Linked DNA regions of Sus scrofa. The protein of the gene in region 1 purifies or fractionates together with the protein of each later gene. This does not show direct contact. Links are inferred from orthologs where the notes say so. Each region holds a gene or a part of one and is shown on either strand. Other genes may lie near its edges.

Region 1 (8,752 bases):
AAAACAAAAAACATGCAAGGAATCTTTGTTAGCTAATGTTTTACATCACTGATAAATGACTTTTTAGGCCTTTCTAAAAAACTATCTAAAATCCATAGGCCTAGTTTGTTATATCCTCAATTTTGTTTGTGTATCCTCAATTTCCTGGCTTTGCATTATTGCAGTCTTTCAGTTAATACTGAGACATAGCAACCTATTATCTTTTTATTCTTAACTGTTGAAGGAAGGCCACATAGAGATGCGAGGTGCACACAGGCTGGTCTTTTCCCTGGAATAAATTCAAACTAGACACTATTATAGAATAATGCCCTGTTTGGAATAAAATCCAGATGCAGTTATTACGTAGATACACATTTAACAGAAAGAAGATTAACTGTTACTCCCCTACAGACAAAAAAAAAAAAAAAAACATATTTGGTAATCTTTTCTTGCACCCTTTACATTTCTCCATGGAAAACTGAGTATCACGTTTTGCCACAAAACACACAGTAATATCATCTTTTTTTTCATCTTTTTGACCATAAAATACAAAGTATAACGATAGAATCATAGCAATCTTTTGGTTTAAAATCTTATAAAGCCTTTATAGCACTCATTCTTAAAGTACAGAATTTATTTTTGTCTACTTACTTACTTTTCTCTTTTCTTCAAAAATATAAACTCTAGGAAGCTGGGACCATCAGTCTTGTATACTATGGTTTCCCAGCATGCACATAAAAAGTGCCAACACACAGTAGATGCTCAATAAATATTTGTTGAATGATACAGCAATAAAAAATCACCACAGTGGAGAAAATAAGCATAAATATTCCATTCATGCTTATTTCTTGGTTACCCTTTGGGTTCTTTAAACTATTTCTGTTCTGGTTATCTATTACTTTAAACAAGCTACCTCCAAACTTAGTACCTTAAAAAAACAATAATTTCATTATATTTTAAATAAACATAACATTTTATTTTATAAACATTTTATTATATGTTTTTAAATAATAAAATAATTTTATTATCATTTTTAGTACTTTGGGTCAGAGAATTTAGGCAAACCTTGACTAGGTGATTTTCCTGTTCTATGTAGTGGTGCCTGGGGTCACTTAGTGGAATTCCACCAGCAGCTGGTATGGTGGGTCCAAGATTGTTTTACTTACAAGCTTGGTTCCTGGTAGAGATGGCTGTAAGCCTGTACTTGGCTGGCCCCTTCTGTTTTATGTGGTGGCTCAGGGCTCCAGAGTCCAAGACAGGAGCTGCTAGTCCTCTTAAAGTTTACATTTGGGGCCACCATAGCATCATTTCCACCATATTCTTTGCTCAAACCAGTCACAGGCCAGCCCATATTTGGGAGGAGTGTCAAAACATGTATGGCTATTTTTATTTTTATTTTTTGTCTTTTTAGGGCCTCACCCACAGCATATGGAAGGTCCCAGGCTAGGGATCTAATTGGAGTTGCAGCTGCCAGCCTATACCACAGCTCACAGCAATGCTTAACCCACTGATCAGGGCCAGGTATCGAAACCACGTCCTCATGGATACTAGTCAGGTTCATTATTGCTGATCCACAATGGGAGCTCCTATACACCGTTTTTAATTCTGTACATTTTCTTTTTCCTTTTTTGGCTGCACTGATGATAGAGGGAAGTTCCTGGGCCAGGGATTGAACTGGTGCCAGAGGAGTGACTCAAGCTGCTGCAGTGACAACACGGGATCCTTAACCAGCTGCGCCAGGAGAGATCTCCTCATCTGCTACATTTCTGAGATAATGTCCAAGTAAATGTTCCTAAAGAAAACAATCCAACAAATTCAGTTCAGTATCTTTCTGGAAATTACAGTCTTCTGACTTAAGTCTCACCTAAATTCAAGGAAGGCTTCAAAATACTAAAAAACAAATGCAAAAGTTTAAAGTAGTATAATGTAAAAGATACGCAAACCTTTTAATATACATCTTATTCGCTTACTGACAACACAATGAACATTGTAAATTGGTTTAGGTTCTTAAGGTTCTTTATATGATGTGTCTGCTGTGTACATTTTTCTGGGAGATAGGTTCATAGTTTTTATTGATTTCTCAAAGATCTAATGACTAATGACTCCCTCCTTCCCAATCAAGTATTTCCCTAAGCAAAATTATGGAGTAGATAAATTCATTTTTGGAATTATCTGCCTTGATAATACTTAGCCTCATATAAAAATAATAGTGATAACAGCTGACTTAAATAAAAAAGATTACTATCAGCTGTGTGCCAGGAACAGTTTCATAATAACCCAATGAAGAACATAGTACTATTATCTTATTTTACAGTTGAGGAAACTGAGGCATATTAACTTGCTTACCGTCTAGCATATTGGCTTCAGAGGGTCCCATGCAATGCGGCCCTGTTCCCCAGTATCCCTTTACTCCTTTGTAAATAGCGGATAACAACAGCAGCCAGTATTATTGTGGGTATTAGATGAGTAAGACTGGGACAGTCCATAGCCACATTCTTAGCACATATTATGGTGTTTGTTTAATACATATGAGTGCTCCATGCTTAGCTTCTGTATTTCAGAAGGCTCTGGTATCTTTCATAGTAGAAATATGGGTGTGATAAAATGCAGGAGAGAACAAGAGGTGGGCGGGTGGGTGGATAAGGATTTGAAAGTCCAGGGCCAAAACTGGAGATATTGCTCTGCCCATTGCACTCCTAAGGTTTCACATATTCACTTAAAATTGAATGCAAATGCAACATTCTGTTCCACAATTCAATTGCTTATCTATTAATATAAAACTTGTTTACTCCAAAGTTTTCAGCATCATTGTTCTATGGAGATGTACCTTGTTGATGCCTTAGCTTCACACATACACCCCTTTGAGGGACTCAGCAGCGCAGGTTTGGGAATCTGAACGCCTAGAAGCCCAGCTAGGCCCCACAGCTTGTTTGAGCCTTACATTTTTCATATAAAGTGGAGTGGGTGGTAATACCTACTTTACTAGTCTCTTTCGCTTTGGAATTACACACATAAAACTGTCCTAAAGGTAGTTTTCAAAACTTATAAGTAGGCGAAAAACCAAATTTAGTTGCTCAAACACTAAAAAAAAAAAAAAAAAAAAAAGGTAAATACTGTTTGGTGGAATTCTTATTCCAGAATAGATATTAAAATTAATATGTGAACGTACATCTAAAATCAGCATCTTACTGCGGCTGGTAATAGAAACATTTTAAAGCTACTAAGGAGGGCATGCATCCTTCCAGATGGGTAACCCGGAGGATCTGCCCGCCTTCCGAGGTAATCAATCTCGTAACTTCGCGATCTGACCGCCGCGGCCAAAAGCCGAAGGCGCAAATCTGAGAGTGGATCTGGGTTCCGGAGCGCGCTGGCCCAGCCGGCCTCAGGGGCGGCACCTGGGCCCACGTAGCTACGCCTGCCTCCCGCCCCCGGCCTGGCCCGAGAGGACGCTGCGCGCCTCCTGACGTCATCACCGGGCGCCGCTGCCTCGACCTCCTTCCACTTCGCGGGAGAAGTTGTTGGCGCCAATGGATCCCGAGCTCCGGTAACGGATTCCCCAGCCGGCCAGCCTGCACGCCAGCGCCTTCGTCCGTGGGCTGTGATGGTGAGCCCCCGTGGGAGGCTGTACGGCTCGGGGGTTGGGGAGAGTTTGCAGGTTGGGTGTGGACCGGGCACTAGTGGCATGGAGGATTGGGGAGGATCGTGATGCGAGGCTCCGGAGGAGTGCGAAGGCAGGGAAGGGGCCACAAACTTGGCACGGGTCTCACGCCTTTCCTTGGACCGCGGCTTCAGCTCCCGGCCGCAGCCGGCGCGCAGGGCTCGTGGTGCTGCGCGTCAGTTTAACTTTTTTCCATTCTTGGGGGAAGGGAGGAAGGGAGTAATAAAGGTGATTTTGAGGGCTCAGCGGTTAAGTTGCTTTTCCTGTTTAGCGTTGCCTCGGACCTTGGTTTGAGTCCTGCCTAAAGCGTTAATTCCAAGTTTTGGGTTACGAAGGAGAAGAATGTTACAAACTTTCCTTTCTAATGAATAAGTTGTCTCGGGCCTTCGACTTTCGTCATTAACAGCTCGGTGAAACGCTCATCACAGAGCTCTTTTGAGATCAAGGGCATCAGGAGGATGTTTTATTTTGTTTGGAGGAGTTCGCAGAAATCAAAGGGATAACACGGTTTCCCCGGAGAAAAGAAAACAGCTAGTAGAAACAGCTGTACTGCATTTGACGGCTGTCATCACTTAGCATCTGATGTTAACAATACTCTTAAAAAAAACCCTCACTAACACACCATTTTAAACCAACTATTCTTTAATAAAAAATTAAAAACCCCCAAAACACCCCTCGGTGTTTAAATAGTGAAATAATTATGCAGCCTTCCAAACATGTTCATACTGGAATGGCAATAGATACAGGTGTGTGTTTGAAGTATTTTATTTTAAAGGTCAATTTATGATGGTCCATTAAGTCAGAATCTACCTAATAATCAGATATAATTTTTTCAGTAGTTTTTCAGCTTATTTCTTATAATGTCATTGTTATGGGCTGTATGTGTGTGTGTGTAATTTTATGCCAAATTGGGAAACCTTACAGCCCTTTTTTATTTCTTCTCAAAGAAGGATAAGATAATAATAGCTACTTTGTAACAGGTGTCTTCTTCAGGTCAATATGTGAGCCCTTTACTTTACATACCTTTTCTCATTTAAACCTCACAGCAATCCAGTGTTACAGATGGTAAAGGAAGCGTTTAGAGTTCAATTTGTGATAGAAGTAATAAATGATTGAACTAGGATTACAACCTTGGTTTTTCTGTTAGATTATACTACCTCCCTAAAATGATCATAATTACATTTTGGACTTCAGGCACTATGGTGTTGTGGAAAGTTTATGAGTTTTGGAGTCTTGAAGGTGAGAGTGAGGTGATGTTTTAGTCTTGCTCTACCATTTAATGCTTAAGTGGTTTTGAACAAGTGAATACCTTAACTTTTTAACCTTTTAAATCCTGTTGTTTCCTTACCTGTAAAAGGGAGGAAAATATAGCTGCCTTAAATGACTGTTTTGAGGATTAAACAAGATAATTAATGTAAAGCTTCTGTTCTTGTGCCTGGCATGAGGTAGGCAATATACAGCTCTGTGGCCAATGATGTAATTTTCTCAGGAAGGACTCTATGGAACATTACAGAGAGTTTAAGGGGCAGCAGAGATACCTCTGGAAAAAACAAGATGCCTCTGAGAACAACAGTTTAGAGTCAACTTTTGGTTATTTGAGTATATATATATAAATATATATATATATTTTTTTAGGGCCGCAGGTGTGGCATTTAGAAGTTCCTAGACTGGGGGTCAAATCAGAGCTACAGCTGCAGGCCTACGCCACCACGACAGCAACACTGGATGGGAGCTGTGTCTGTGACCTACACCGCAGCTTGGGGGCATGCCGGATCCCTAACCTACTGAGTGGGGCCGGGGATCGAACCCACATCCTCATGGATATTGGGTTCGTTTCTGCTGAGCCACAACAGGAACTCCCATTTGGGTATTTTCAATTGATTCTTTCCCTTCTTAGTACTCCTGTTCATGGTGCAGATGAAAAATAAAGCCCTTCTCGGAAAAGAAGTGGGAGTCAAATGGGTCTGCTTTACTGTTTCTAAAGGGAAAAGTTTCTGTAAGGTACTTAAGAGTTTTGGATTATATTGGTATTTAATTTAGTTCTTCTGTCTCTAGTACACAAATTAGCAGAAACCTAGACCCAAATTCTGTTTAGCATATGTTTATTGAACACCTTTATACAAGTTATCTTGTACAGTAGTTCTTAACTTTTGTTTGAGTCATAGCTCCGTTTGATAATCTGGTGAATAGTGTGCAAGTTTTCTGCCCACAGAGTACATGTGGACTCATACACACTGTTTAGGGGATTCACATATCTTCTGAAGCCCTTCCATAGATCAAAGTTAGCAACTCTTGCCCTGGGAGCTACATCTTTTTCTCACATCTTTTCCAATTAAAGTTATTGATAAAGGAATAAAATACTATATCCACAAAATGGAATGCTATGCAGCCATTAAAAAGAAAACTTTGGAGTTCCCATCGTGGCGTAGCGGAAATGATTCTGACCAGGAACCATGAGGTTGTGGGTTCGATCCCTGGCCTCACTCAGTGGGTTAAGGATCCGATGTTGCCGTGAGCTGTGGTATAGGTCGCAAATGCAGCTCGGATCTGGTGACAGCTCCGATTAGATCCCTAGCCTGGGAACCTCCATGTGCCTCAGATGCAGCCCTAAGAAGACAAAAGAGAAACCCCCCACCAAAAAAGAGAAAACTTTATGCCATGATATGAAACAATTGCCAAGATAAGTAAGTGAAAAAAGAAGATGCACAACAATATGTAGAAAAGATTCTCTGCATATTTGGGAGTTTCCTTGTGGCTTAGCAGGTTAAGGATCTGGCATTGTCACTGCTGTGTCTTGGGTTGCTGCTGTGGTACAGGTTTGATCCCTGGCTTCAGAAGTTTCACATGGTGCAGGTGCAGCCAAAAAAAAAAAAAAAAAAAAAAAAGAATATGCATATTTGTTTGAAGATACGAAAGATCCATAAAGAACTAACTGCTAACATTTGTTGCTTCCTAAGATGGGAAATGTGAATCTGAGCGGCAGGATAGGAGGGAGACATTTTACCTTTTTGAATTTTTGGGTCATGTGAATATATTGGCTATTAAAGTAATTGGAATGAACTTAGAATAAAAAAATGGCCATGTAAATGATTTGCATTGCTATGAAGATTTAATTATTTGCTCAAAATGTGAATAAAATTTGAGAAATGCCATTTTAAAGAAGCCAGCACATATAATTTATTGGCTAGCATGTTTATTTATTGAAAATATGCATAAGATTGAATTAAACACACACGAGACTTAAGGGATAGGTTTTTTTTGAAGAGCTGTTGAGAGTCTGAATACATCTAAATTGACTCATTGCCCCCTTCACATTGTCATTTACTGCGTGAATGCTCCCCTGAAGCAGTGTGGTCACCCTTTTATTTATTTATTTTTTTACTTTTTATTATTATTTTTTTGTCTTTTAGGGCCACACCAGTGGCACATGGAGGTTCCCAGGCGAGGGGTCCAATTGGAGCTGCAGCCGCCAGCCTATGCCACAGCCAGAGCAAGGTGGGATCTGAGCTGCGTCCGTGACCTACACCACAGCTCATAGCAATGCCAGATCCTTAACCCACTGCGTGAGGCCAGGGATTGAACTCGAGTCCTCATGGATGCTGGTTGGGTTTGACAACCACTGAGCCACGATGGGAACTCCGGTCACCTGTTTGTAATGTGGCTTTTGCCATAAGGCTTCTCCTACCTTTCTGATCTCATCTGTCTGTCTTTTGAGTGTGTTAAGCTGGTTCTCTCTTGGCTTTTATTTTTGCTATTTCCTTTCCTTGGAATAACCTGTCTTATTCAAATGTCAGTCATCGCTTCCTCAGAGCTTTTGGTGTCATATCCAAGAAACTCTTACCTAATCCAGAGACAAGAAGATTTGTGCTTCTTTTATAGATTTAGCTCTTCCATTTAGGACTTTGATCTATTTTGAGTTAATTTTGGTGTATGGTGTGAAGTTGGAGTTAAAAGTTTATTCTTTTCTATGTACCTCTCCAGTTTTTTGCAGACTATTTTCCCATTGAATTATCTTGGCTCTCTTGTCAAAAATCAGTTGACTTTAAGTGTGAGGGTTTTTTTTTCCTGGATATTGAATTCTGTTCCATTAATCTATGTGTCTATTGTAGTGCCAGTAACCGTTTTTAATTACAGTTGCTTTGTGGTGAGTTTTGAAGTTGGGAAGTATGAGTCTTCCAACTTTACTCTTTTTCAAAGTATTTTGCCTGTCCTGGGGCCCTTGAATTTCCATATGAAGTTTAGAATCAGCAAAGAAGCTGGCAGGATTTTGATAGGGATTGTGTTGAATCTTTAGATCAGTTTGAGGAATATTGCCATCCTAACAACATAAGGTCTTCTGATCGATGAACATGGGCTATCTTGCCATTTGTTTAGGTCTTTAATTTCTTTCCTTTTTTTTTTTTTTTTTTTTTTTTTGTCTTTTTGCCATTTCTTGGGCCGCTCCCGCGGCATATGGAGGTTCCCAGGCTAGGGGTCCAATTGGAGCTGTAGCTGCCGGCCTACACCAGAGCCACAGCAACGCAGGATCCGAGCCGCATCTGCAACCTACACCACAGCTCACGGCAACGCTGGATCCTTAACCCACTGAGTAAGGCCAGGGATCGAACCCACAACCTCATGGTTCCTAGTCGGATTCGTTAACCACTGCGCCACAATGGGAATTCTGGTCTTTAATTTCTTTAAACAATGTTTTGTAGTTTTCAGAGATTGGTTTTACACTTCTGTTAAGTTTACTCCTAAGTATTTTGTTCTTTTTGACGAAACTTTAGGTGGAAATTTATGTTATGCTAATTTCTGCTATATAGCAAAGTGATTCAGACACTATACATATACACATATACGTATATATACATTTGCTATACAGCAAAGTGATTCAGATACACACACATACATATATAAGCATTTGTTTAATATTTTCCGTTATGATTTATCACAGAATATGTATGTATATATATTTTTTCCTTTTTTTGGCGGAAGGCGGGGAGGCTCCCACCTTTGCCATACGGAAGTTCCCATGCTAGGGGTTGAATCAGAACTGTAGCCACCAGCCTATGCCATAGGCATAGCAATGCCAGATCCAAGCCATGTCTGGGACCTACACCATAGCTCATGGCA
Region 2 (7,302 bases), on another chromosome or scaffold:
ATAATTAGGGTAACAATATAAGTCCTTGTCCAAACTGGGACACTTTTAGAGCAAAAGAGGAAGTGTTAATAATTAAAATTGGATATACCTGGAGTTCATTCAATAGGGGTCTTTAGTCAACTACTTAGATTCCTTTCCTTGGGTGGCAAAGTTCCAAGGTTAAATTTTTGTACCTGGTATATATTTAAATTTATATCAGAGCACACTTAGGAATTTGTAGAAACTGAATGACTCAATTTTTCATCTCTATCTAGGATTGACAGTGTATATAAATCATACAGATGATAAGGGCCTTAGATCAGGAGTAAAAAACTCTTACAACTCAATAATAAAAAGACAGTTCAAGGAGTTCCCTTGTGACACAGTAGGTTAAGGGTTCAGCATTGTCACTGCAGCAGCTCAGGTCACTACTGTGGTGCAGGTTTAGTCCCTGGCCCAGAAACTCCCACATGCCACAGGCATGGCCAAAAAAAAAAAGAAGACAACTTAGTTTAGAAATGGGGAAAGGATCTGAATAAACAGTAATTACTCCCAGGAAGATATACAAATGGCCAATAAGCACATCAAAAACAGGTTCATTGACATCGTGAGCCATTAGAGAAATGCAAATCAAAACCATGGTGAGATCCCACTTTACACCTAATAGGACAGCTATAATAAAAAAAGATAGAAAATAAGTATTAGCAAGTATGTGGAGAAATTGGAACCCTTATACATTGCTGGTTGGAATGTAAAATGATACACCCACATTGAAAACAGTTTGTCATTTCCTCTAAAAGTTAAACATAGAATTACCATATGACCCAACAATTTCAGTCCTAGAATATTTACTGACAAGGAATGAAAACATACACATGTATACAAATGTTCATAGCAGCATTACTCATAAGTCAAAACATGGAACCCACTATCCAACAACTAAAGAATGGACAAATGGAAGTTCCCTTGTGGCCCTGTGGTGCAGGTTGCAGCTTGTGGCCCAGGTCCAGTCCCTGTCCAGGGAATTTCCACATGCTGTGGGCACAGCCAAAAAAATAATGAATGAAAAGTAGTATATCCATTTGCCATATTATTTGGTAATAAAAAGAAATGAAGTAATGATATATACTAAAAAGTATATGAACTTGAAAATATTAAGGGAAAGAAGCCCATCACAAAAGACAATGTGTTATGTTGTCTGTCAACACATGATTCCATGTATATACAGTGTCCAGAATAGACAAATCTGTGGAAACAGAAAGTGGAGATTCCTGATTGCCTGTGGCTGAGAGTTTGGAGAGAAATCATTTAAAATGGGTGATGAGACGATTCTAAAATCAGATTGTGATAATGATGTGTTATAACTCCTATGTGTTTCTCTGAATCAGTGGGAAGCCATGCCCTCCTTTTAAGATTGTGATTCTGGATGAAGCAGATTCTATGACCTCAGCTGCTCAGGCAGCTTTAAGACGTACCATGGAGAAGGAGTCTAAAACCACTCGATTCTGTCTCATCTGTAACTATGTCAGTCGGTATGTATAGATGCTAAGCAACCTTATTTTGATAGCCCCAAATAGGGAGAAAAAAAATTTTTTTTTTAATGTTTTAAGGCTACATTAGTTTCTCCTCCATCAAATCTTGATTTGTTCTTGATAAAAATGAGTTCTTTGAGGGAGTTTCTTCTTTAGACACTGACTTGTTTTTTCCAATATTTTACAGAATAATTGAACCTCTGACCTCTAGATGTTCTAAATTCCGCTTCAAACCTCTGTCAGATAAAATTCAACAGCAGCGATTACTAGACATCGCTGATAAAGAACATGTCAAAATTAGTGATGAGGTAATTACTAATATTATTACAATTATTGTAAATCATTAATTCCTTTGATGAATGCCTGTGAAGAGGCCCTGTCTGAAAGAGTCAAGTGTTACCTCATTTATGATGCCAGTTCTTCAGGCAAAGTTAAGCTAAATGAGCAATTAGAATGTCTACAAATTACAGCTTCAGCCTTTCTGTTGCTATTAGTTTGTCAATATTTCAGAGACCCAAAGTGTGGGCAGATTTCATACCTAGAATGCAGATGCTGCAACAACAAATCTCTGCATAATGACAAGATATTCCACTTGTTACTACTAATACTCCACTTCAAGAACTGATTTGGTATGATGACATTCTGGTATAGTGATAGAATATATAGGCCCCTTATTATCACGGAGTTTAACCATAATTTGAATTTTCTTTGCTATAAGTAATCAAGAAAATAGGATCCCCAAAGTGGAACATCTTATCTGTTTATCTCTGCAAATTTTTTTCAAAGGAGAGAGATCTCAGGAGTTCCCTTCATGGCTCAGTGATTAATAAACCATGAGGATGTGGTTTGATCCCTGGCCTTACTTAGTGGGTTAAGGATCCCGTATTGCCGTGAGCTGTGGTGTAGGTCACAGACACGGCTCAGATCTGGCGTGGCTGTGGCTTAGGTGAGCAGCTACAGCTCCCATTGGACCCTTAGCCTGGGACCTTCCATATGCCGCTGGTGCAGCCCTAAAAAAACGCAAGAGGTCTCCTTCTATCGGACTGATGCTGTCTCTGAATTCTGCCACAGTAGGACTGACATTCTCTCAAAAATAGAAATAGATGGTTTTTTTCCCATTTAGCCAGTGCTTTTTACTTTTATTAAAGTCAGCCTTGATTGGCCATAATAGGTTAAAAAACTTCTTTCTCTTCAGGGAATAGCTTATCTTGTTAAAGTGTCAGAAGGAGACTTAAGAAAAGCCATTACATTTCTTCAAAGTGCTACTCGATTAACAGGTGGAAAGGAGGTCACAGAAAAGATGATCACAGATATTGCTGGGGTAAGTGCACTGGATATTCTGTAATTCTTTTAGTTGGCTTTTTTTGTTATTATAATTCAACACATATATATGGAATACTTACTATGTGTTATCTTAGTCTGTTCAGGCTGCTCTGACAAATGCCATAGGCTGAAATACAGTTCTGGAGACAAGGAATCCAAGATCAAGGTGCCCAATGATTCAGTATCTGTTAAGACGACTTCCTAGCTCAGTAGACTCCTAGTTCATGGATGGCCTTCACCTCCCTGATCCTCCTGTGGCAAAAGGGAGCTTTTTTCATAAGGGCATCAATCCCAGTCATGAGGGTTTCCTCCTTACGACCTCATCAACCTCCAAATACCATTACAACATTAAGGATTTCTCACATCAATTTTTTTTTTTTTGGTCTTTTGTCTTTAGAGGGCAGCACCCACAGCATATGGAGTTTCCCAGCCTAGGGGTCTGATTATGTGGGATCCAAGCCGCATCTGTAACCTACACCACAGCTCAGGGCACTGCTGGATCCTTAACCCACTGAGCTAGGCCAGCAGATGCTAGTTGGGTTTAACTGCTCAGCCATGACAGGAACTCCCCCTAACATCAATTTTGAGAGAATACATGTAGTCTATATAGCATCTGCTAAATATTGTGGTAGTAACAGTAATAAAGGAGTAAGCTGGGAGTATCAACGCTTCAGGCAGTGATGTGGCTTAAAACACTTTTTTTTTTTTTTTGTAAATGTAATGTGACCAAAGGTCATATTCAGTTTTTAAAAAAATTAAAAGAATCCTCTTCTGTCAGTTGTCTTTGGATACTCCTGTCAGGGTTCACCCCAGGATCACTATTTTATCTCCTCAGTGGCATCTTGAAGAGAACTATGCACCCACACTGACCATCTTGGGCTCAAACTTGAAAAAAAAAAAGGAATTTGCAAGCAAAACGCACCCGAATCAGTTTTCTGGGAAGCTTTATTCAGGTTTAGTAGTTATCAAGATCATCTATCTGGAGCCCAGAATAATAGCACAAGGCTTAAGAGCTAGCTTTACCAGCTTTTTCTCCCCTTGTGCCCCCCCCCCCCCACCAAGGTAGCAGGAGTGCAGGTTATGTGCTGTTTCAAGTATGAGAAAGTTTTAAGACCCACATATCTAAAGTCTTCAAACTTTTATTTTAGGTAGTACCGACTGAGACAATTGATGGAGTACTTGCTGCATGTCAGAGTGGCTCTTTTGACAAACTAGAAGCTGTGGTAAAGGTAAATTTACTTGACTAACTCGGGAAGGGGAATAAAAACAATCACACCAAGGTTTTCCTTCTATTGCAGGACTTAATAGATGAGGGCCATGCAGCAACTCAATTTGTAAATCAGCTTCATGATGTGGTGGTAGAAAATGATAACCTTTCTGATAAGCAGAAGTCTGTTATTACAGAGAAACTTGCTGTAAGTAGGCATTTTCTACATTTCAGCACAAGGATATTCACTTAAAAGGGCTATTTTATTAACCTTTCACTTTCTTTTAGGAAGCAGATAAATGCTTAGCTGATGGTGCTGATGAACATCTACAACTAATAAGCCTCTGTGCTACAGTGATGCAACAGTTAACTCAGAATTGTTAAACCACACCCAGTTATGTATGCTTTTTAACTGATTTGTAATAAAAATGACCAAAGCACCCTTAAAGTGAATATACAATTTATTTAACATTTAAACTTCATTAAGACATGTGCAATATGGCAATTTTACTGGGGGTTTAACCCTACCTAGGATATGATTGCTTGCTGGGGCTTAGCAACAGGGTCCAGTTCACACTTAGCACTAATTAAATACTTTATTGAATAATTAAATACAATACCAAACAATGCATTCAAATGCTTTCTAGAAAAAAAAAATCAATTTTAAAGGCCTTTCTAATTCAGGCTACTGACAAACACAATAAAGGCAGGTATGCTAGTTTAACATAATTGGCTGATTTTATACAGCACTTATATCTTTTAGTCCACAAGTATATTATTAAATGATAGAGAACATCTAATACAACCATTTCTACAGAACTAGGAAATAAATTTCTAAGAAAGTAAGATTTTACAGACCCCATCTTTTTTATACCCAACCCCAACAGTCTAACTCTAAAGAGGATGAAGCCAATGACTTTCCTCACAAGAGCTCACGACTAAATGTCGCTTTGCTATCAAAATCTGTATTTCTGATCCGTTATGAGCATTGAGACAAGATTCAAATATTCCCAAAGAAAGAAGCACAATGCACGTTGTGATCGCCTATTCAGCAACAGCGAGCACTGCATTCAAAACTATCTCATCCCAGGAATTAAATAAGGTCAGCCACATTCATTGGCATTTCCTCCACTGTAGTATTGTAGAAAGTCTCAATGTCACGAAGAATCCTCTTGTCTTCTTCAGTAACAAAGTTTATAGCCACACCTTTCCTCCCAAATCGACCCCCTCTGCCAATTCTGTGTAAGAAAAAGAAATCAGCAATTAGACTTGTTTCTCATATGCTGCATGAAATACTGAACATGATGATCCACTTAACCATCAGCTGCTGTTTACTTATCATGGTTATAGTTCGTGCTTCTAATTGGAGCACTAGCTGCTAATCAATATCTAGAGAAAAAAATCTTCCTTTGCAGTTAGTGCCAAAAGGATTCAAGGCTTGTCTGGCTGCAAAATGAGATTTTATCAGGTGTCTTGAGCATTACTTTTTTAAAGCAGATGACAGTATATTGTGTTTGGGGTAGTGAATTTAAAGCCCATACCAAAGTGGGCCAGCCAAGAGCAGATGTCAGCCTGGGACAGATGTAAAACACCAGGGTAAAACAAAAAAGAGCAGTTATGTAATCCATTTCGACGCAACTTCTGGAACTGTAAACTGTAAATACAAATGCTGCAAGGTTAACTACTGCCTAAAACTTACTTCTTCCAGTGGGAAAACAAGTATTTGGTATGGTAACCCAAACTTATCACTGCTTTTTTTTTTTTTTTGCTCAGTTTCACACGTTGAAACTCTAATTATTCAAACGTGTTTACCTCCAAAACAGCTTTCTAACCTTCCTGATAAGATACCAGACAATACAAACCACCTAACAGGCTACTATACAAAATTCCTTGGCTGGAGCATCTTAAAATATCAAATAATCATGACAAAAGAAAAACAAATATAAATACCGACTCGCTCTTTATTCAAACAGTGTGCTGTTTCGCTTATGATTCCACGTCCTAAATTACGTCAACGCCGTTTCTGAGCGCCATCTGGTCATCAACTGCTGCTATCGACTCCTGTATTTTTTAAAAAGTCTTTTTTTACATCATATAACAAAGTACAATTCAATTTATTTAGGGATAAAGCCACTATAACTAAACCAGGGACTGCTCAAATTGCTACCAGACAACACCAAGAAAATCCCAACTACAGAGAAATCACCAAGAAAGCACATGGACACACGAGCATCACTAAAAATAAAGCTCAAAAATAAGCTAAAACCAACAGAACTAAAACAACCTCATCTGTGTATGAAGTCCACAATTTGGGCAACACTCACAACTGTTTTCCCACTGTGTCTGACCAATCTTCCCAAATACAATTACACCCTACCAAGTTACTGTCTTAATTCCCTGATTGGAGGTTACCTTTCACACAAATCAGTCAGTAGAAAAGCGAAATGAATTTTACCAATACAGTAATAAATCAAGATGCCACCTACTCACCTGTGAATATAGTTTTCACGATTGGTAGGTAGGTCATAGTTTATAACCAATGATACTTGTTGCACATCAATCCCACGAGCCTAAAATACAATGTATAATGTTCAAATTCTAATTAAAAAACTAGACACCTATGTAATGTAGGCCACAAAATAGTAATGAACTATACTAAATGGTATAGCTCACTGTGGAGCGTGGTCTCTTCTTTACTCTCCCAAATAGCCTAAACTTGGTAAAGGTTATTAAAGAAAACCTTCCCCCAAAACAAACTTTTGGTAGATTAAAAAGAACAGTAAGAGACTCACCAACAAGTCAGTAGTGATCAGAACACGGCTTGACCCTGATCGGAATTCCCTCATGATAACATCTCTTTCCTTCTGGTCCATGTCACCATGCTGCAAATTAATAAGCCTTAAGATCACGAGTCATATTAACATTTAATTTTTATCAATATGTATGAGACCAAGCGTCCCTGGCTGCTACAGAGTATAACAGACAGGTATAGTTAAGAAACAACTTTATTTTGAGCAGGGGGAACGACAACACAGCACTTAACAGCTATATTGTAGTCTAAATCCTGCTTTAACAAAAATAAAGACTTCAACCATCATTACTAGGTTAGAACATCTTACCAGAGCAGAAACTGTAAAGTCCCTGGCATGCATTTTCTCAGTAAGCCAGTCCACCTTGCGCCTTGTATTGAGAAAAATCACAGCCTGTGTAATCGTCAGTGTCTCATACAAGTCACAAAGTGTATCCAACTTCCATTCCTAC

What was found.
Region 2: the proteins of RFC1 (region 1) and RFC4 fractionate together in Homo sapiens (co-fractionation; 7 studies listed by BioGRID and IntAct, counting the BioPlex papers as one, with this or other methods). This does not show direct contact. The link is inferred for Sus scrofa from reciprocal best matches to the Homo sapiens genes RFC1 and RFC4.

What each region holds. Positions count from the first base shown.
Region 1 is NC_010450.4:30,630,573-30,639,324, reverse strand, and holds the start of RFC1 (replication factor C subunit 1), read left to right. Parts: upstream 1-3,392; 5' UTR 3,393-3,580; coding exon 3,581-3,583; intron 3,584-8,752. UniProt on the Homo sapiens protein: Subunit of the replication factor C (RFC) complex which acts during elongation of primed DNA templates by DNA polymerases delta and epsilon, and is necessary for ATP-dependent loading of proliferating cell nuclear antigen (PCNA) onto primed DNA.
Region 2 is NC_010455.5:124,586,479-124,593,780, reverse strand, and holds the end of RFC4 (replication factor C subunit 4), read left to right. Parts: intron 1-1,367; coding exon 1,368-1,511; intron 1,512-1,698; coding exon 1,699-1,819; intron 1,820-2,706; coding exon 2,707-2,832; intron 2,833-3,982; coding exon 3,983-4,063; intron 4,064-4,132; coding exon 4,133-4,249; intron 4,250-4,329; coding exon 4,330-4,425; 3' UTR 4,426-4,489; downstream 4,490-7,302. Other genes in the region: EIF4A2 (eukaryotic initiation factor 4A-II), read right to left, coding at 5,135-5,279, 6,532-6,611, 6,834-6,923, 7,161-7,298. UniProt on the Homo sapiens protein: Subunit of the replication factor C (RFC) complex which acts during elongation of primed DNA templates by DNA polymerases delta and epsilon, and is necessary for ATP-dependent loading of proliferating cell nuclear antigen (PCNA) onto primed DNA.